Macaca mulatta: one gene and its partners. The protein of the gene in region 1 purifies or fractionates together with the protein of each later gene. This does not show direct contact. Links are inferred from orthologs where the notes say so. Each region holds a gene or a part of one and is shown in the gene's direction. Other genes may lie near its edges.

Region 1 (3,624 bases):
AAATCCCTAAGGGCAGGTGTGTTACTGGGAGATCAGAAAGGTCAGATGAAAGGGGACACATATCTTCTCACAAAACCCTTCCTCACATCGCTAGGAGGAGCAAAGCCAGGGCTCCTTGTGCCACCGTGAGTCAGCCGCAGCACATCAGTGAGCATGGGCAGCGGCATGGTGTTGGTGGTCTCTGTGCGTGATGATGGCTCTTCTTTGTTTGCAGGTCAACGAAGTGACGGTGGAACAGCTGGTGCAGCAGTACCCCCACATCACCTTTAGCACCGTCCTGCAGGACTGCAAGAGGACCTTGGAGAGAGCCTATCAGATGGGCTGGACCCCCAACATGTCTGCCGCCTCCTCCTAACGCTCCTGCCCCGCCTAGTCCACTGGCATCATTCAGCAGAGCAAAGGAGAATTGTACATTTGGGGGGCTGATCTCTCGGAAGGGTTTTAACTGTCGCCTGTCTGTATGTGTTCAAGTATGTGTATTTGTGTCTTGTTTGCATACTGTATACCAGAAGTGCAGTTGTCATTTGTTCCCAAGTGAGCTGGCTTTTTTTCTTAGAAATTAAAGATTATGAAAGCCACAAACTTTTTAGTTTTTAACTTCAAAGGCTTCTTTCTCTTTAAAAAAAAAAAAAAGTTTTTTTAATATAGAGTCAAAAAATTAGATGTATTATTTTGAGCTTCTAATTGCTGCCACTTGGAGATGTCCAAATAAGAAGGCCTTCTTTTTACATGGGATGAATTGTGCACTTCTGCTGATGACGACTACAATAGAAGTGATGTTACACGTACAGGCACTTACATTCTCACATACTCACACATGTGTGCACATCTACACCGGGGCTCTCATCTACTCCAGATCATTTCCTGACAGAGAAGCCTTCTTCCAGGCCACCGAGGTAGCATGTTATCCACTGTGGCACTGCCTAACTCCATGCATCCTCAGGTGGCCAACTTGCTATCTGGTAGGTGACTTGGGGACTAGAAAGAATAAAGCCTTTTCTAAATTGGTTATATGGAGGCAACAATCTGAACTCCCCTGGCCAGCTCACAAAAATTAATTATACATTATTCTACAAATGCATTCTGTTGAGCACTAAATATTTTAGTTGGTTTTACGTTAACATTGTGTTAGCTTTTATTTCCTGGATAGTAACTGGTCAGGATATATTTTAATGATATTTGAAACTAATCTTAGCATTGAAGCCACCAATGTAATTAATGGTGTGCAATTATTTTAAGAAGTACAGATCATTTCATTATTTTCTTAATTTTGGTAATTATTAAAGTGTATTTCTGAGATACGAGAGGGTAGTCACATTAATAGAAGATTCATGAGTGAGATATAAGTAGACAATCTTTCTACTGTTGTTGCTTTTTTTGCTTTGCTTTGGGTTTTTGAACAGGTTTTTTGGATATGTGCATGTTGTCATTTTGGACTAGTTCTCGTGCTACTACAAAGATCTATTGCTAGCTAATATATGAGTTAAGAAGGAAAATTAGAAAATCCGTTCATTGAAATTCTGTTTACACTTGTCAGAAATAAGCATTTCTTTGTTTAGTTAAAGATTGCCAGCTTCAGTTAAGACAAGACCTATCAGTAAATGAATATATGTTTTGATTTAACACATCTTTACAATTAATTCATATTAGGGACTCAGGCTCAAATAACTGTTCCTGTGTCTAGATTTATAATGAGGACATCAGGGAGCCTTTTTAAGCTAAAGAGTGATTATCTTTCACAGCAGAACTAGAAACAAAACCCTAACTTGTGAATTTGCTATTTATTTTTCCCTGAGTGAATATAACTGTTATTTGGTCTTTAACAGATATACTGAGGTTTGAGTTTCACTTTCTTTAAGTCTCACATTGCTAACATGACATTAGCTGTAAGAAGCAAAAGATAGCTTTACATTTGAATGCCATTTACTGATTTCTAATGATTCTCTTTTTTTGTAAACAACTGTTTCCTTTGATTATGTCAACATGTTTCTGATGTGGCATTTTTGTTTTAATCCCAATCAGTTAGGAAATCTAGTCAGTAAGCACCATGAGTATTCTTCCCGTCACTAAATGAGTTTCTAATTTAATTTGAAGGGAATAAAATTTGTGTAAGAAAAAAGCTGTTTAACATTAATAAACTGTATTTCTTCTTACACATTGAACTACATCATTTTCGTATCTACTTCCCCACCACTGAAATAGCTTATTTCACAATATTTTAACTGATTTTTAATCCAAAACTAATTTATAAGACAGTATGTATAGTAATAGTAGCTTGAGGGAATATGCAGAAGTTTAATTTTTATATATGTCATACTATATTTTAAATAGTTAAAAAAGACAAAAGAAGGGAGAGCCATCTATGATATAGATGGTACCATTTCAGTTCAAAGTTGTAATAACCTTTGGAGTGTTACAGTTTGGTTGTCAAATGGTTTCAGAGTGTATAATTGATTTTTTAAACGTTGCATTGTTTGCATCTAAAGTACAGCACTATAACATGCTTTAGCTTGCGGGGTGGGGTGGGGTGGGGACTTGCACTTATTCTCTAAAATGTTGACTAATCCAGAAAGCCTGATGCAACATAATCTGGAAAACTGCTTTGGTACATTTGTAGAACTCCATAGAAATACCATATCCAGCCTCAAAGCATTAATCTCAAAAAAAAAAAAAAAAAAAAAAAAAAAACCCAGCCAGAAAAAGGCATCACCTTGAGTGATCCTGTGATGGTTATTGAATGTGTTCTCATTAGATGCTTTGAAATGAGGCTTAAAATAATTTTTCTGGGCAATATAGAGTTTTTTTTTTTTTTGCTTAGAATGTCATAAATACATGTGAATACGTTTAATGCAGGGCTTTTTATTCTCTCCAAAATGTCAACAGTATTTTCAGAATAAAGACTATGAAATATATTGCTGTAGTGGAAAATTCTGGTCCTTTGTCTTTAATGTCTTTTTGAGTGGATAAAGAAAATTCACCCGGTTTGTAGTTTCTATATTTCCGTGAATCTTTGACCTTGCAATGGGTTGCAATAAAAGAGAAACAAAACACTGTGTCTTTTGTTTTATTTTAGAGACAATAAATGACTGCCCTGATGCTGGTTGGGTATGATGCATGCAGTGGTCTGTGCTTTTGTGTGTTTCACTACAGACTTATGTAGGTTTGACTAACCCAGAATAATAAACGAGACTGAGTTTAGGAGGTTCTAATTGGGCGGGTGATTATAGAGATAAGATTAAAACCTCAAGCATTTAAATAAGTGTGTATTAGTCTGTTCTCACACTGCTGTAAGGACATACCTGAGTAATTTATAAAGGAAAGAGGTTTAATTGACTCACAGAAAACCTAAAATCGTGGCAGAAGGGGAAGGAAACAAGTCCTTTTTCACAAGGTGGCAGGAGAGCGAAGAATGAGAACCAAGCAAAGGGAGAAGCCCCTTATAAAACCATCAGATCTCATGAGAGCTTGCTCAATACACAAGAATGGCACGGGGGAAACCACGCCCACGATTCCATTGCCTTCCACTGGTCCCTCCCACCACAGCTGGGGCTTATGGGAACTACAGTTCAAGATGAGATTTGGATGGGGACACAGCCAAACCATATCAAGTGAGTTGTTTAAAAT
Region 2 (4,234 bases), on another chromosome or scaffold:
TCCAGGTTCTTGGCGTTTTGGACAAAGAATTGGAAGAAACACATAAACAAAGCAAGGAAAGAATGAAACAACAAAATCAGAGATGTACTGAAAATGAAAGTACACTCCAGTGTGGGCGCAGGCCCAGCACAGGGCTCAAGGGCCCTGTTACAGAATTCCTGGAGGTTTAAATACCCTCTAGAGGATTCACTGGTTACTTGGTGTATACCCTATGTAAACGAAGAGAATGAATTAAAGTTACAAACTCATTTACTCGGCATACACCCTATGGAGAGGATATTTCTTGTTATAGCTAAAGTGTGAATCGGCCTTATGTTCCCTGCCTCCAGACCCTATTTTCCTGCCTCAAATCTCTAATACTTGATTTTGATGATTTAACTGTTGATCAATGCAAATATAAAAGACTTTTGTAAAGCATAGGCTATACTGTATGTTAATTCAAGGAATGTCAGGGCATGTACTAATGCTGAATTCTGAGAATCACGTGCTTTTGTACAGAACAAAGTCTGTTTCTTGAAATATTTTGAGTTAAATACTCCCTAAAACTCCTTAATAAAGGCAATTACAGAATCTGTTAATTGATATGTGGAATGGCAGTGAAAGAGGCTGTATTAGACGACTTGAAAACACTCATATTTGGAGCTTAATGAAAATATTCCTGCTCCCCAGAGATGAAATGTTAGTGAGAGTAGCAAATAATCTATTTTTATATGCCCGATTTGCATATTTGAGGCCATCTATTAACACCGTTCTTTAGGACCTCAACCTAGTCGTCTAAGACATCCTTATTAAACAAGGCCAATACGTACCATTTAACATTGAAAATAGTTAATGCCCTTCAAAATCTTTCAAAAGAATAAAAATTAAAAACTAAGTTCTTTGTAAAATTTTGCGGTTTAAAATAATTTTTAAAATTTTAAAAATTTTTTGGTTTCAAATTAGTGGGTGCCTCATTTATCATAAATTATAAAAGAGAATCTAACAATTATTGGCTACATTCTAGGCACGGGGTAACGCTTTATTGTTCTTCTAACCAAAAAAATATATGTATCTAAGTATCCTATGTAACGTATCATTCAATCACACAAAACCCTATGAAATACTGGCAGGGCCCGGTGGCTCACGCCTGTAATCCCAGCACTTTGAGAGGCAGAGGCAGGAGGATAATTTGAGCCCTCAGGAGTTCAAGACCAGCCTGGACAACAATAGTGAGACATCGTCACTTCACCATCATATCCAGAATTAATTTCTACTGTTAGGGCAGTCAGCGAAAGGAAAGCTCGCGATATTACACAAACTACTACTCCCAACATGCAAAGCGGTTTCTTTCCCTCTGTCCCCGCCCGGCCGTCCGAGAGCCCCAGCAGGCCTCGGGGCGCGAAAGGCAACCTGGAAGCGGTAGTTCTCCTGGGCGCCTAGCGGGATCGCCAGCGCGGCAGTGGGGCCTTCCGCGGCTCCAAGCCAGCGGGTCCTGTGAGGGCGAGCGGAGGCGGAGAAAGGGCGCGGGAGTGAGAGAGGGTGAGTCAGCCACTGTCTACGCAATAAAGGGAGGCCTCACCGCGGGCTAGGGCTGAATTCAGAAGTGCGGCCCGTGCCGCAGTCTGTTCCAGGACGCGGCTTGTCTTAGCGTCTGCGAGGGAAGGTTGAGGAGGAGCCAGAGCCGGGTCCGGCAGCCTTTCTCGCTATCAGCGCCCGTCGCCATCTCCACCATGCAGTCCCGGGAAGACGCCCCGCGCTCTCGCCGCCTCGCCAGCCCCCGCGGTGGGAGGCGGCCCAAGAGGATTTCCAAGCCCTCGGTTTCGGCCTTTTTCACGGGTCCAGAGGAATTAAAGGACACGGCCCATTCTGCAGCCCTGCTGGCACAGCTCAAGTCTTTCTACGACGCGCGGCTGCTGTGTGATGTGACCATCGAGGTGGTGACGCCTGGCAGCGGGCCTGGCACGGGTCGCCTCTTTTCCTGCAATCGCAACGTGCTAGCAGCTGCGTGTCCCTACTTCAAGAGCATGTTCACAGGTGGCATGTACGAGAGCCAGCAGGCCAGCGTGACCATGCACGATGTGGACGCCGAGTCCTTCGAGGTGTTGGTCGACTACTGCTACACGGGTCGTGTGTCTCTCAGCGAGGCCAATGTGCAGCGCCTGTACGCAGCCTCCGACATGCTGCAACTGGAGTATGTGCGGGAAGCCTGTGCCTCCTTCTTAGCCCGACGTCTTGACCTGACCAACTGCACCGCCATCCTCAAGTTTGCAGACGCCTTCGACCATCACAAGCTTCGATCTCAGGCCCAGTCCTATATAGCTCAGAACTTCAAGCAGCTCAGCCGAATGGGTTCAATTCGGGAAGAGACTCTAGCAGATCTGACCCTGGCCCAGCTGCTGGCTGTCCTGCGCTTGGATAGTCTGGACATAGAGAGTGAGCGGACTGTATGCCATGTAGCTGTGCAGTGGCTGGAGGCTGCTCCCAAGGAGCGGGGTCCCAGTGCTGCGGAAGTCTTCAAGTGCGTGCGCTGGATGCACTTCACTGAAGAAGATCAGGACTACTTAGAAGGGCTGCTGACCAAGCCCATTGTGAAGAAGTACTGCCTGGACGTTATTGAAGGGGCCCTGCAGATGCGCTATGGTGACCTGTTGTACAAGTCTCTGGTGCCAGTGCCAAACAGCAGCAGCAGCAGCAGTAGCAGCAGCAACTCTCTTGTATCTGCAGCAGAAAATCCACCCCAGAGACTGGGTATGTGTGCCAAGGAGATGGTGATCTTCTTTGGACACCCCAGAGATCCCTTTCTCTGCTATGACCCTTACTCAGGGGACATTTACACAATGCCATCACCTTTGACCAGCTTTGCTCACACTAAGACTGTTACCTCCTCAGCTGTCTGTGTCTCCCCAGACCATGACATCTATCTAGCTGCCCAGCCAAGGAAAGACCTCTGGGTGTATAAACCAGCTCAGAATAGTTGGCAGCAACTTGCAGATCGCTTGCTGTGTCGTGAGGGCATGGATGTGGCATATCTCAATGGCTACATCTACATTTTGGGGGGGCGAGACCCTATTACTGGAGTTAAGTTGAAGGAAGTGGAATGCTACAGTGTTCAGAGAAACCAGTGGGCATTGGTGGCTCCTGTCCCTCATTCCTTCTATTCCTTTGAACTCATAGTGGTTCAGAACTATCTTTATGCTGTCAACAGTAAGCGCATGCTCTGCTATGATCCTAGCCACAATATGTGGCTGAACTGTGCTTCTCTTAAACGCAGTGACTTTCAGGAAGCATGTGTTTTCAATGATGAAATCTATTGTATCTGTGACATCCCAGTCATGAAGGTCTACAACCCAGCTAGGGGAGAATGGAGGCGGATTAGTAATATTCCTTTGGATTCAGAGACCCACAACTACCAGATTGTCAATCATGACCGAAAGTTGCTTCTCATCACTTCTACAACCCCACAATGGAAAAAGAACCGAGTAACAGTGTATGAGTATGATACTAGGGAAGATCAGTGGATTAATATAGGTACTATGTTAGGCCTTTTGCAGTTTGACTCTGGCTTTATTTGCCTTTGTGCCCGTGTTTATCCTTCCTGCCTTGAACCTGGTCAGAGTTTTATTACTGAGGAAGATGATGCACGGAGTGAGTCTAGTACTGAATGGGACTTAGATGGATTCAGTGAGCTGGACTCTGAGTCAGGAAGTTCAAGTTCTTTTTCAGATGATGAAGTCTGGGTGCAAGTAGCACCTCAGCGAAATGCACAGGATCAGCAGGGTTCTTTGTAAATAGATTTTGAGACACTAAGATGTTTCTACTGCTACGGAATGTATTTTAAACACATATCCTTTCTTTTTCTTGAAAAAAAAAAAGTTGACCAGGACCACAGATTTGGTTTAGAAAGGGTAATATTTTGAAATACTACAAGGTTTAAACAGTCCACAAAATCGACCTGTTTAATAATATACCTTCCTGAAAGTCCAAAATTAAAATATGGAAGCAAGAACTATGTAATTGACTGGGATGCTTGGTAGGTTTTTTTCATTGTTCAAATATTCATTGCACAGTGGATTGTTTTGATTAGTTAGTATGCTTTTTTTTTTTTAATTAATTCAGTCTTCTGTTAATTTTTAAGTTTTGGTTAGTGCCACAAGGAATTTAACTTTTTAATCTGTACAATAGAAAACTGGACTAGGAATTGTTGGTGGAGTTTTGAAGGATGTATACTTTCCTTCAAAATAAAGTGGTAGATTTT
Region 3 (4,395 bases), on another chromosome or scaffold:
TTTAACCTTCCTCTTTCCCCGTGTGTTTTATGCACGGTGAACTACGTAAAGATTTGCATTGCTTCCCCACTCGGCATCCCCGCCCCCACCTCTCTGAAAAACAAAACCCCAACCTCACAAAATCTCTATGGATCCGCGGTAGCGAGACGTGAAGGGGTTGATTTGTGGAGTGGGAGTCGCTGGCCCATTGCGGTGCTTGGGACTCATTAAACTGTCACTCACCCCCCACCCCACTGGGTAAATGGGGTGATTAATGTCTGATATACTGGAATGGGGCGAGGGCATTTATGGAGAATAGGTGGTGTGGCTGGAAAGAAATTGATCGCCCAAGGATGTCTCCTGGACTAAGCGTTCATAATTATGTCACTCACCGCGAAGTTGGAGAAAGTTAGGTTTGTGACTTTGGGAAAGCGAGAAGGACAGGAGAGTCGTCGGGTTTTGTTACTATTTAACTCTCCGCCACGGCTTTCTAATGGGAACGAAGTGGTTATCACCAGGGCTGGGACGCTGACGCCTCAGGCCCCAGTTCCTTTTCTACCCCTCGCCCTCCCAAGAGTCTGAGGAGATGTATTTGACATTCAGAGATGTCGCAGCACCCTGCCCGGCACCGGTCAGCCCAGCCCGGGTCGCGTTACAGTTTCATCAGCTTTTAGAAAAGACCCACAAACTCTGGCTGAAAAGTTCTCAAACTTACTAGACCTGGCTTCCCCCCACACAAAGATTTTCTTGTGATCATTAAACATGACAGAGTGACACCCCCCACACACACAAAAAAGATTGTTAAGGGACACAGATCAAGGGGAAGGCAAGGTTCTGCTTTTTCTGAGCAGAAAGATCAGATATGCAGGTGCAGCATTCATTTTAAGTGACTGTAGCAGGTTGTATCAGTTTATTAATTGGTCTCGTTGAACTGAAGTACTTTCCAGGATTTCAGAAAGTGCAGTTTCAGCTTGTTGGTACTGAGAATTGAAATTTGCATTGACTGTGGCAGTGTAGGAAATTTTTCTGAGAAGGTAGTTGTAGATAAGTCATTAAATAAGAGTGAAATAATAAGGTGAACCAGTCCGAAGTAATGGTTCTGAAGAAGTCTGCCAACGTTTGAGACATGTATACCATTGTCTCAGCAGAAAAAAAAAGTGCGGTAATAATGTTGAAATGGGACTGGAGATGTCAAATGGGTTGGTTTAAAAATATCCCTAAACTGCCTTAGAAACTAAACGTTGGAGTTAAATAAAAGTGAATCTGGATTTCCTGAATAGCACCGTGGCTTGAGTGTGCTGTCAGTATGTAAGCCAGTCCACCAACTTAAGACAGAAGTGTTGCTATTCCATAAATACAGTAGAACTCCATATGCTGAGTTTTTCAATTTCTTCTGTTAGAAAGTTTGGAAAAAAAGGAAGACTTTGAAGTATTTTGTTTATACTAACAGAAGAGAAAAGTTCTCCTAAGAAAAAGCTGGTGGCAGGAGTGTAGAGGAGTAGCATATGGCATTAAAAGGAGCACAGCTGGAGGTAGCATTTCCATCTGAACATGATGTCAGAGCAGCTGACAGCCTGCCATCCCTCAGCCTTTTATTCTAACACACAGACAGGGAGTTAGTGTGTGCGGATCTGTGGTGGAGAAGGTATCTCATTCCTCTCTAACATCATCTCCACTTTGCATCTGTCTCTCTTAGTCTGCTTTTTTTCCACCGATGTAACAGACCTGGAGCCAGCAGGACTCAGAGGAAAGGACTTAATCAGGTTTATGTGTCCTAAAGGTAGGAGTAGCAAGAGATTAGATTGAGCATATTTCTGTTTTGGTGTTTTGTTTATTTAATTTTAAAAATCACATTACTTTTCTAACCCAGTTTAGGAATAATATATGAAATTGAGTATTAAATGAACATCTTACTGGAGTTGAAAGTCTTGAGCTTGTTTAGTTTTAATTTTTTATCCCTTTTACTTGAGCGAGTAAATAACTTTAATACACAGAAATATGTCAAGTTTTGAAATGTTAAGAAAGGCTTTAAAATACTGCTTTTGGAAATCACGTTGGATTAAAATGCTTTTTTGTTGTTCACTGCTATTTAGATTTGACTGGGATGGTGGTGGTGGGGAAATACTAAACTGTCTGGAATCCAGCATTCAAACTTATATGAGAAGATTATTCTAGTTAAGAAGCTAGATTGTTGTGTAATTAATTCCACTGTGAAACTTTATTCTTCAAAACATTGAACAGCACTGCTGAAACATACAGCTGTAGTGCTTTTGAAACTGAAGGTTTTTAAGAAGAAGAAAAAAAAAACTTTTGTCCCCAGGAGAATAGTTTGACTGGTTTCCTCACTTCTCTTTCAAATATATATTTAAGAGATCTTTTATTTCAGCATAACAATAATTATTTGCAGGAGTTTTTGTGTTAGCGACTAATTTAGAACTTGTAGATTTGAGCTGCCTGAATTGGCCAGACAGCTGTAATCGCACTCCTCTATTCTTAATCTCTTTATCTGGGCAGCAGCTGCCATATGGCCACAGTCAGCTGGATCAGATGTTTATAAGCTTCCTTCTTCGTCCCTCTCTGTCCTCTCAGCCTCCTAATTTGATCACGGCTACCTTGTGAGCTGCCCTCCAATCTTTATTTTTAGCCTTCTCAAGGATTAGGATTGATGTTAGCTGTGGGGCACTTAAAGTGATTGTATTGTAAATCTTAGTTTATTCTAGCAGTGGCATCTTGCAGAATGTATTTGGGGTTAGGATAAAGTTTTAGTCTGTCTTGGGCAAAGTGTAGAAGAAGAAGAAGGAGGGAAGTAATTTCTGAATATTAAATTAAGTGTATCTATTCCCAAAATGCACTTGCTGAGATGGGTGGTGTGGAGCCTTGCTTCTGGTCACAGGAAAGGGGAAGTCGGGTCTTTCTTTTTCAGGAGTTTACCCACTGCAGTTGAATTCTGACCCTTTGTACATCTTTGCCTCTCCCCTCCGTCCATTTCACTCTCCCTCATCAGAAAACCAGGGCAATGATGAATATTTGCAAGAATAGAAGCTAGTGGGAAAACAAAACTATATCAAATTAGATTGAAACAAAGTATTTTCTGTTGGCTGAGGTAAGGCAGAACCGGGGGGGGGGGGGAAAAGTTTCTCTTTTTCTAAAAAGGCTTTAAAAAAAAAAAAGTTGAACCTGTAAAGCTTTTGAGTTTTATTTAAGCCTTATATGCTTTTATTTTTAAAAGTTAGAATTAATTTTAATAGGAAATTCATTTTGCCTTGCAATGGATCAAAGTTTAGATGAGAATTTTCAGAGTTAAATAAAGCCCTCTGGTTCCTAATATTCTAAAAGTACAGTTTCTACGAAGAAATATAACAATTTTTTTCTCAGTTCATTTTGAAAAATCTTTGGATTTGTTCATAGTAAAGATGATCTTTTCCATCTGCTGGTGCAGCTCCTGATCTCGCACATGTGTGCTGTACCTGCAAATCTGAAGGCATTAACATCTGTTTTTATACACAGGGCTTTTGTTGTACCACTCTGACTTTAAAAGTAAGTTGTTTGCTAATTTCTGGACTAATTATGCAATTTCATTTTTTTTTCTTGAATCAGCCAAATGTGTGTGTGTGTTTAAACTGTGCTTTCTAAGTACAGTCAAGTAGCAAAAGTAATAAAAGGAAAAGGATGGTTGAACAAGTTTTCTTGTATGTTCCAGGATATGTTTGGGACTTTGTTTGTTTATTATATGAGTTGTTTCCTTTGAAATTAAAGCTATTTTGTAGGTTTTGTAGGACATAATTTGATAAGTAGAGTTAGTTAAATTTCTTCTGAAAGAGATCTAAATTCTTATTCTTAGTGAGAGACTGTAGTTAAAGGAAGGCTTTGAAAGCTTGGGTTCAGGGAAGATGGAGATGCGTCGGAGGCTGTCCGGCGGGGGTAAGGAGTTGAGAAAGTGCACGTTTTCCTTCTCGCGTTTAGGTCTCGTCCGTGTGATTTGGTAGTGCTGGGTCATAAGCCTGATTGAAATTCAGGGACATGTACCACGGCGGCCAAGGCGGAATTAATTTTTTTATATGGGGACTAGAGCACTGAAAAGTTGTTCCCGACCAGGCTCTAATGAGAACTTCCTCTCTCCCCAGGTTATGAAGACAGTATGGAGTTTCCAGACCATAGTAGACACTTGCTGCAGTGTCTGAGCGAGCAGAGGCACCAGGGCTTTCTTTGTGACTGCACTGTTCTGGTGGGAGATGCCCAGTTCCGAGCGCACCGCGCTGTACTGGCTTCATGCAGCATGTATTTCCACCTCTTTTACAAGGACCAGCTGGACAAAAGAGACATTGTTCATCTGAACAGCGACATTGTTACAGCCCCCGCTTTCGCTCTCCTGCTTGAATTCATGTATGAAGGGAAACTCCAGTTCAAAGACTTGCC
Region 4 (3,610 bases), on another chromosome or scaffold:
GTTCTAGAAGATGCATTTAGGCTTGAAGTTATGAGCATGCATGTTTTCAGATAGTGCATAGAAAGCATGTATGTGTGTGTGTACATTAAAACGTGACAAAACTAGTATTTGTTGAAGATAGATATGGATGTTTATTGATTGTTTCAGTTTTACTAGCTTTGGAATTGTTTTCAAAGTTGATGAGAACAGAGACAATGAGGTACTTCTTACAAAAAGTAGTCATGGGCTCTGAATTCAGTATGTACTGACGAAAATAAAGCCACATTTCTGAAGAAACTGCCTTACTGTCTAAAAGAATTTATAAAACAAGTTTTCAGATGTGTTGAATTTTAAAGATTTTGTTTGTACAGAAAATTGCTAACAGCGCAAGAAGATGTTATTGCACTTGCTTTCTCAGTTTTGAAATCTAGTCCAAGAATGGGTTTAGTTGGGGGTGTGTGAATTCATATGTAAAGTTTTAAATTTGTAAATCTTTGATATGGGGTTATTCCTCTTAAAGGGGACATTTAGATTCATTAGTATTTTTGCATCTGAGATCAGCCTTTGCTTGATGATTTTGATGTCAAAAACTTACATTGCTTTTTCCTTAGTTTTCTATTATGGAATAATGTACCCAGAAGGATATTATTGATCAGTAAGCACCATTTTGAAGAGCTCTATGACCTCAATGATCCTTAAGTGTAGTGAATTACAATGACAGTACCTTTATTCAGGCCACTCTTGTAATTCCTACAAGTATTCTCTGTTGTAAGAATTAGGAGAGATGGAAGAAATTTGGGGCAAGGTTTACTCAATTTGAATTACCATTTTGTGTTGCAGATAGAGTGTTACATTCCTTGTTATCATGGATGTTGAATCTCGGATTTTCAGTTTACAAATCGTTTTAGGGATATTCTTCTGTCTTTCTTTTGAGATGGGCTCTCGCTTTGTCACCCAGGCTGGCCTGAATCTCATGGGCTCAAGCGATCGTCCCACAGCCTCTCAAATTACTGGGATGACAGGCACCAGCTACTGTGCCTTGCCTATTTCCTTATTCTTATATGTTGTGAATAATTATAGATATTAGAACATCTAACATGTCTTTTGATACTAGTTTCCCAAGTTATTTTAAGCAAGTCAGAAGAACTTATTGGCATGTGCTAGATAACATTTATTCTACAAGTAATTGTAGGACATATGTCTTAGACAGTAGAAAAACCAAGGCAAGTAAGATAGGCACAGTTCTTGCTGTCTTGGAGTTTGACTTTGTACCGATTTAGACAAGAAATATGGATCATAAAGCTCAAACTTTATTTAGAAATGTGAAACTAACAGTAGGTTGACCTCCAGGCTACCACCTCCATCCCATTCTTTATCCCTCACACAGAAATGCTTCACTTTAGGATTCTTACAGCTTACTTCCAAACACGAATTAGGTGCAACTATGATGAATTATAGTTGAATTATATGTAGCTATGGGTGCAGGGAGCTTTCTTTACATCAAAAACCGGTCAAGATATTCCAAGTACAGCACAGTTTACAGTAATAGTAATGATGTGCAGTTTTAAAATACTTTAGAGACATTTTTACTTTGTTGGGTATTAAGACTTTCACCAAAAGGAATCTTAAGTTATCTTAATTTTTAAGAGGAACAACATGTCTGGGAACATATATGGGAAATGATTCTTAGCAAATCCATTTGGGTAAACATTCTTTACTTTTGAAACCGTGATGCCCATGGGAGGAAAATGTATTATTGCTGCTTGAGTGAACTGTATCTTGGCAAGGAGTGTTTTAGGCAGCTTAAGTGCTTTGAATTGGGAGCATGCTTATCCATGGATGAGGAACAGCACAGAGGTCAGTATGGTTGGAATAGAGTGACTGAAAGGGTGGTTGGAAGCCAGGGCTCCACCAGGTAAAGCTCTGGAAGATACTGAAAGTCTCTAGCTTTTACTGTGAGGGTGGGTAGTCTTTGCAGCCTTGTAAGCTGATGGTGATCTGCCTTAAGGTAGTGTTTTAAAGAATCTGTGATTTCTCTCCTCAGAACACACTCCAGGAAGGCAACAGTGGAAGTAGGGAGACAAGTTTTTGGTGGCTACTGAAGACAGTCCAGGGGCTAGAGCTCACGATTGATTGGATCAGGGTGGCAATAGTTGTGGAAGATTCTGGATATATTCCTATTGCCAAAAGGTTCCTGGTCCAAGGAATTACATTAAAGATGGAATTAAATCCAGTGGATATAATTCCCACCCTTGCTAATCTGAAGATCCTTAGACACATGCATTATTCTATTTTGATTCTGTCTTCTGCACGTTATTTTATTTAAGGATGGAGTTAGAAAGAAATTTCAGTGAACCCTGAGAGCATTCAGTTACCTTGCCCTAATATGTCTGAAACAACAATGATATAGTAATAGAACTTTAAATTTTTAATTATCCTGTGTATATTCTTTATTCTCAGTCCATTTTTCTATACTAATCTTAAAATTATGTGCCTGTCTTGGGTTTGTAATAAGGAGAATATCCCATTTGATAGCTGGGCTTTAGGGTGATATAATCTCAAGTGATAGAGTAGTTAGAAAAAAGCAACTATTAGGAGTTCTGGTTTGAATATACCCATCCTTTAAAAGGGTAATTTCTTGTGGCGTCTGCACAATTAAATGATACTCATGTTTTTTTCTCCCCTACCAGCACCTTTTTTTTTGTTTGTTTGTTTTCGTTGAGACATGGTCTCACTGTCACCCAGGCTGGAGTGCAGTGGCGCAATCTTGAATCACTGCAACTCCTGGTCTCAGATAGTCTTCCCAAGTAGCTGGGACTGCAGGCACCCACCACCATGCCCAGCTAATGTTTAAAATTTTTTTGTAGAGACGGAGATGGAGTTTCTCCATGTTGCCCAGGCTGGTTGCAAACTCCTGGGCTCAAGTGATCCTTCTGCCTCAGCCTCCCAAAGTGCTGGGATTATATGCATGAGCCACTGTGCCTGGCCCATGATTTTTTTTTTTTTGTAAACTGAATTTCTTCTATTATAGTTGAATAGTATTTCATTTAATTGTGATAATAAAGTAGGAAGACATCTCAATTTTAGACTAAAATACAGTTTTATTTAACTCATTAAGAAGTTCTATCATAATGCTCATAGGATATAAATATATTTTCTGTTTTCTGACTCTGATAAGAGATAGATCTTTATTACCATTACTAATTCAGACTTTTTACTTGTACTAGGTACTTCACATGATTTCAAGTATGGTTTGATGCCTGGTCCTTCAAATGATTTCAAGTATGGATTGATACCAGGTACTTCAAATGATTTCAAGTATGGATTGATACCAGGTGCTTCAAATGATTTCAAGTATGGATTATTGCCAGAATCTTGGCCAAAACAAGAAACTTGGGAAAATGGCAAGTATTAGTCAACTAAACAAATACAAAATTATTAAATAATTGTTAAGAATTCAAAGCTTTCATATTCTGCATTTTTTTAAAAACAAGTATCAGTAGTTCTACATAATTGCTGTTCTCAGAGATAAGAAGTTTTGATAGCAAGTTTTCTGTTTAATGTATAATAAGCACTTTCTCTTTTTTTGTTAATTCTCATAGGTGAATCATCTCTAATCATGAACAAGTTA
Region 5 (4,276 bases), on another chromosome or scaffold:
CTAACTCATGCAACAAGTAGGGCTCCAGGACTTCCCAATGCTGATAAAATTTCAGTGAATAATTTCTCCAGGCCAGTTTCATTCCAACCAACCTCTTGTGTTGAATAGGTTGACAATCTGCTGGAGCACCTTGTGGAGGTCAGTGGTAGTCTAAGCCTTCTGAATTTTGCTGCCATCCATCGGAAACAATAGAAAACATTCAAAACAGATGAACTGTCCATCAATCGGGCACTGGTTAAATAACTTATAACAACTCTGAGGGCAACAATAGAATTGTTTAAAAATATAAATAAGCTCTCCAGCCTGGGCGACACAGCGAGACTCCGTCTCAAAAAAAAAAAAAAAAAAAAAAAAAAAAAAAAATATATATATATATATATATATATAAATAAGCTCTCTATAGTAATTCAGGAAGATCTTGAAGTGAAAAAAGAAAAATGCAGAACAGTGTACATGGTATGCTATCTTTTACATAAAAATGAGGAGAGTGTAATAAAAACATGACTATTCTTACTTTGCACACACTTAAAGAACTAGAAGGACTTAAAAGACATAAACTTCAAAATTTGGAAAATGGAAGAAACTGTGTCAAAGTATACATTGATTTGTATGTCAAAATTTAAATTTACCACTAATTAAAGAAATGTAAATTAATAAAATACTTAAAAAGGGAAAAGTCAGCAGAAGGGAAAGGCACAAACATTGCTCATGATAATATTTTGGAAATACTGTCTTGGATCAGCATTTTACTAAATATTATCCATAACAGGGCTAAAATTTTGCTACCAGATTCTGTAAATTTACTACAGATTCTATAAAACAATGGAGGATAAGAAGGTACATATTCAGGAACAAACAATGGGCAAAGGAAACTATAGTATGTTATTGAAAAATTATGTAGCCATTTTTAAAATTATGGAAAACAAAGGCATTTCAAGCCAAAAATTTAGACTATACCATTTATATAATAAAGTAACAATCTAGTAGAGACAAATATTTTGCCTTTGAAATTATAACAAATTTGAAAATACGAACCAAAATTGTAACTAAGGTATCTATTACATAATGTGGGATAACAATTATTGTTTTGTAGAGGAAAAAAAAAATTAAGCATCCAGGTTTCCTCTCAATTTATACAAAAGCCGCGTTTCACTGTTATTCAAAAAAACAGAAACTAGGAATTGCAAAGTTTTAAAAAATGTATGCATTTGGGGAACGTAAGAGCTCAGATATGTGAAAAACTTACATCAAACATGCAGCATAATATACGTGCACACATTCTGTCCTATTTTGTCCCACATACAAGGCAGATCTAAGGAGCCGGGCTCGCGCCCACTCCAGACAGCTCGTCTTCCTCAACCCCCGCCCTCCCCGCCTCCCGCACACTTCCTCCCCCTTCCCCACCCCCACACGCCCGCCCACTGACGAGCTCTGGAGGCCGCGCAGCCGCAGTAGCCGCTACGGCCGCTCCCACCCCGCGGGATCCTGGGAGTAAGCTTTTCCGGAAGGAGCGGCTCGGCGTCGGGGCTAGGCCGGTATTCTAGGCCCAAGCCCAGTCCCAGGCCTGTGTTCCAGGTCCTTGCTCAAAGACAGGTCGGTGGCCGCTGCGACACTCTAGGTACAGCGGAGGGCGCAGCGGGCCGTTCGCTGAGGTTCCCGGACCCGCCGCCGAGCGGGCCGTGGAGCCACAGTACGTGGCGGCGCCTTTTCGTTGCCCGAAGCGGAACTGCAGAAGGAGCGGCAGCGCAGGCCGGACGAGGTGAACCGGGTCATTTAACCGCCTTCAGGTGATGAATCATCTGTCTAATAATCAGATTTGAGGTCCACAGCCCTTTGTGGTCCTGCTACAGGGCGATTTTCAGTGGATGACTGACTGGCGTGGCCTGAGGGGTGCCGCAGTGGCTGCCTTCCCTTGATAAGGAAACGAGCTTTCTGTTCTTTGTGGACACCTCGTTGCCTGTAAAACATTCCGGTTATAACTTCTTTCTCCGGCTTGCATCTCTGTGCAAGAGGAAAGCTTTCACATGAAAGTGTCCCTTGGTAACGGCGAAATGGGCGTCTCTGCCCATTTGCAGCCTTGTAAGGCAGGAACCACACGCTTTTTTACCAGCAATACACACAGTTCGGTGGTACTGCAAGGCTTTGATCAGCTTAGAATAGAAGGATTGCTTTGTGATGTGACTCTGGTACCAGGTGATGGAGATGAAATCTTCCCTGTTCACAGAGCTATGATGGCGTCTGCTAGTGATTATTTCAAAGCTATGTTCACAGGTGGAATGAAAGAACAAGATCTGATGTGCATTAAGCTTCATGGGGTGAACAAGGTTGGTCTGAAGAAAATCATTGATTTTATTTATACTGCAAAACTTTCTCTTAATATGGACAATCTTCAGGACACACTTGAAGCTGCTAGTTTTTTACAAATATTACCCGTTTTGGATTTCTGTAAAGTATTTCTTATATCAGGAGTCTCTTTAGATAACTGTGTTGAGGTTGGACGAATTGCTAACACCTACAATCTCATAGAAGTGGATAAATATGTTAATAATTTCATCCTGAAGAACTTTCCTGCTTTATTGAGTACTGGGGAGTTTCTAAAACTCCCTTTTGAACGGCTTGCCTTTGTGCTTTCCAGTAATAGTCTTAAGCACTGTACCGAACTCGAACTCTTTAAGGCAGCCTGTCGCTGGCTAAGGTTGGAAGACCCTCGGATGGATTATGCTGCAAAATTAATGAAGAATATTCGATTCCCACTGATGACACCACAGGATCTCATCAATTACGTGCAGACAGTAGATTTCATGAGAACAGACAATACCTGCGTGAATTTGCTTTTGGAAGCCAGCAATTACCAAATGATGCCATATATGCAGCCAGTGATGCAGTCAGATAGAACTGCCATTCGATCTGACTCCACTCACTTGGTTACATTAGGAGGAGTTTTGAGGCAGCAGCTGGTTGTCAGTAAAGAATTACGAATGTATGATGAAAGGGCACAAGAATGGAGATCTTTAGCCCCGATGGATGCTCCCCGTTACCAGCATGGTATTGCTGTCATTGGAAACTTTCTTTATGTAGTTGGTGGTCAAAGTAATTATGATACAAAAGGAAAAACTGCTGTTGATACAGTTTTCAGATTTGATCCTCGGTATAATAAATGGATGCAGGTTGCATCATTAAATGAAAAGCGTACATTCTTTCACTTGAGTGCCCTCAAAGGACATTTGTATGCAGTTGGTGGGCGCAGTGCAGCTGGTGAACTGGCCACAGTAGAATGTTACAACCCAAGAATGAATGAGTGGAGCTATGTTGCAAAAATGAGTGAACCCCACTATGGCCATGCTGGAACAGTATATGGAGGCTTAATGTATATTTCAGGAGGAATTACCCATGACACTTTCCAAAATGAGCTTATGTGTTTTGACCCAGATACAGATAAGTGGATGCAAAAGGCTCCAATGACTACAGTCAGAGGTCTGCATTGCATGTGTACGGTTGGAGATAAGCTCTATGTCATTGGCGGCAATCACTTCAGAGGAACAAGTGATTATGATGATGTTCTAAGCTGTGAATACTATTCACCAACCCTTGACCAGTGGACCCCAATTGCCGCCATGTTAAGAGGCCAAAGTGATGTTGGAGTTGCGGTCTTTGAAAATAAAATCTACGTTGTTGGTGGATATTCTTGGAATAATCGTTGTATGGTAGAAATTGTCCAGAAATATGACCCAGAAAAAGATGAGTGGCATAAAGTTTTTGATCTTCCAGAGTCACTTGGTGGCATTCGAGCTTGTACACTCACAGTTTTTCCACCTGAAGAAAACCCTGGGTCACCTTCTAGAGAATCACCTCTTTCAGCACCTTCAGATCATTCTTAGGTCTAAGGTGTAACACCTTTGCAGTACATCATGGGTGATCTAATACTTCTTCAGTTGTATCTTCTTACAGTGATTGGTACAGTTATTAGATATAAAGGTAACTGATGTTATTCGTCTTGTTTGGCTTTTAGTATGTTTATCAAGTGACTAACAAATGCATTCTGAAGATGTATTTAACATAGCTAGCTGTTTTAACAAATGAGAAAAAAAGATGTAGAAAAATGTTTAGATGTCTTTTTGTGATGTTATATAAAATTGTAGATGACTGTGGTAAATGTGTAATTATGTCCATTATGCTTCAAAGTCGAGTTTTCATCTTTGACTCCAAAATGTCAGAGGGAGGTCACTGTAACCTAAAATTAACGAAAGGTTGCCCAGTATTAATACTAGTTACCTCC

Evidence for each region.
Region 2: the proteins of FBXL17 (region 1) and KBTBD7 purify together in Homo sapiens (co-immunoprecipitation; 3 studies listed by BioGRID and IntAct, counting the BioPlex papers as one, with this or other methods). This does not show direct contact. The link is inferred for Macaca mulatta from reciprocal best matches to the Homo sapiens genes FBXL17 and KBTBD7.
Region 3: the proteins of FBXL17 (region 1) and ZBTB18 purify together in Homo sapiens (co-immunoprecipitation; 3 studies listed by BioGRID and IntAct, with this or other methods). This does not show direct contact. The link is inferred for Macaca mulatta from reciprocal best matches to the Homo sapiens genes FBXL17 and ZBTB18.
Region 4: the proteins of FBXL17 (region 1) and ZBTB10 purify together in Homo sapiens (affinity purification with western blotting; 3 studies listed by BioGRID and IntAct, with this or other methods). This does not show direct contact. The link is inferred for Macaca mulatta from reciprocal best matches to the Homo sapiens genes FBXL17 and ZBTB10.
Region 5: the proteins of FBXL17 (region 1) and KLHL9 purify together in Homo sapiens (co-immunoprecipitation; 3 studies listed by BioGRID and IntAct, with this or other methods). This does not show direct contact. The link is inferred for Macaca mulatta from reciprocal best matches to the Homo sapiens genes FBXL17 and KLHL9.

What each region holds. Positions count from the first base shown.
Region 1 is NC_133411.1:116,700,539-116,704,162, reverse strand, and holds the end of FBXL17 (F-box/LRR-repeat protein 17), read left to right. Parts: intron 1-214; coding exon 215-355; 3' UTR 356-3,048; downstream 3,049-3,624. UniProt on the Homo sapiens protein: Substrate-recognition component of the SCF(FBXL17) E3 ubiquitin ligase complex, a key component of a quality control pathway required to ensure functional dimerization of BTB domain-containing proteins (dimerization quality control, DQC).
Region 2 is NC_133422.1:20,614,116-20,618,349, reverse strand, and holds the start of KBTBD7 (kelch repeat and BTB domain-containing protein 7), read left to right. Parts: upstream 1-1,400; 5' UTR 1,401-1,709; coding exon 1,710-3,767; 3' UTR 3,768-4,234. UniProt on the Homo sapiens protein: As part of the CUL3(KBTBD6/7) E3 ubiquitin ligase complex functions as a substrate adapter for the RAC1 guanine exchange factor (GEF) TIAM1, mediating its 'Lys-48' ubiquitination and proteasomal degradation.
Region 3 is NC_133406.1:5,079,129-5,083,523, reverse strand, and holds the start of ZBTB18 (zinc finger and BTB domain-containing protein 18), read left to right. Parts: upstream 1-1,594; 5' UTR 1,595-1,746; coding exon 1,747-1,759; intron 1,760-4,103; coding exon 4,104-4,395.
Region 4 is NC_133413.1:91,031,404-91,035,013, forward strand, and holds part of ZBTB10 (zinc finger and BTB domain-containing protein 10), read left to right. Parts: intron 1-3,206; coding exon 3,207-3,383; intron 3,384-3,581; coding exon 3,582-3,610. UniProt on the Homo sapiens protein: May be involved in transcriptional regulation.
Region 5 is NC_133420.1:77,885,050-77,889,325, forward strand, and holds the start of KLHL9 (kelch-like protein 9), read left to right. Parts: upstream 1-1,453; 5' UTR 1,454-2,024; coding exon 2,025-3,878; 3' UTR 3,879-4,276.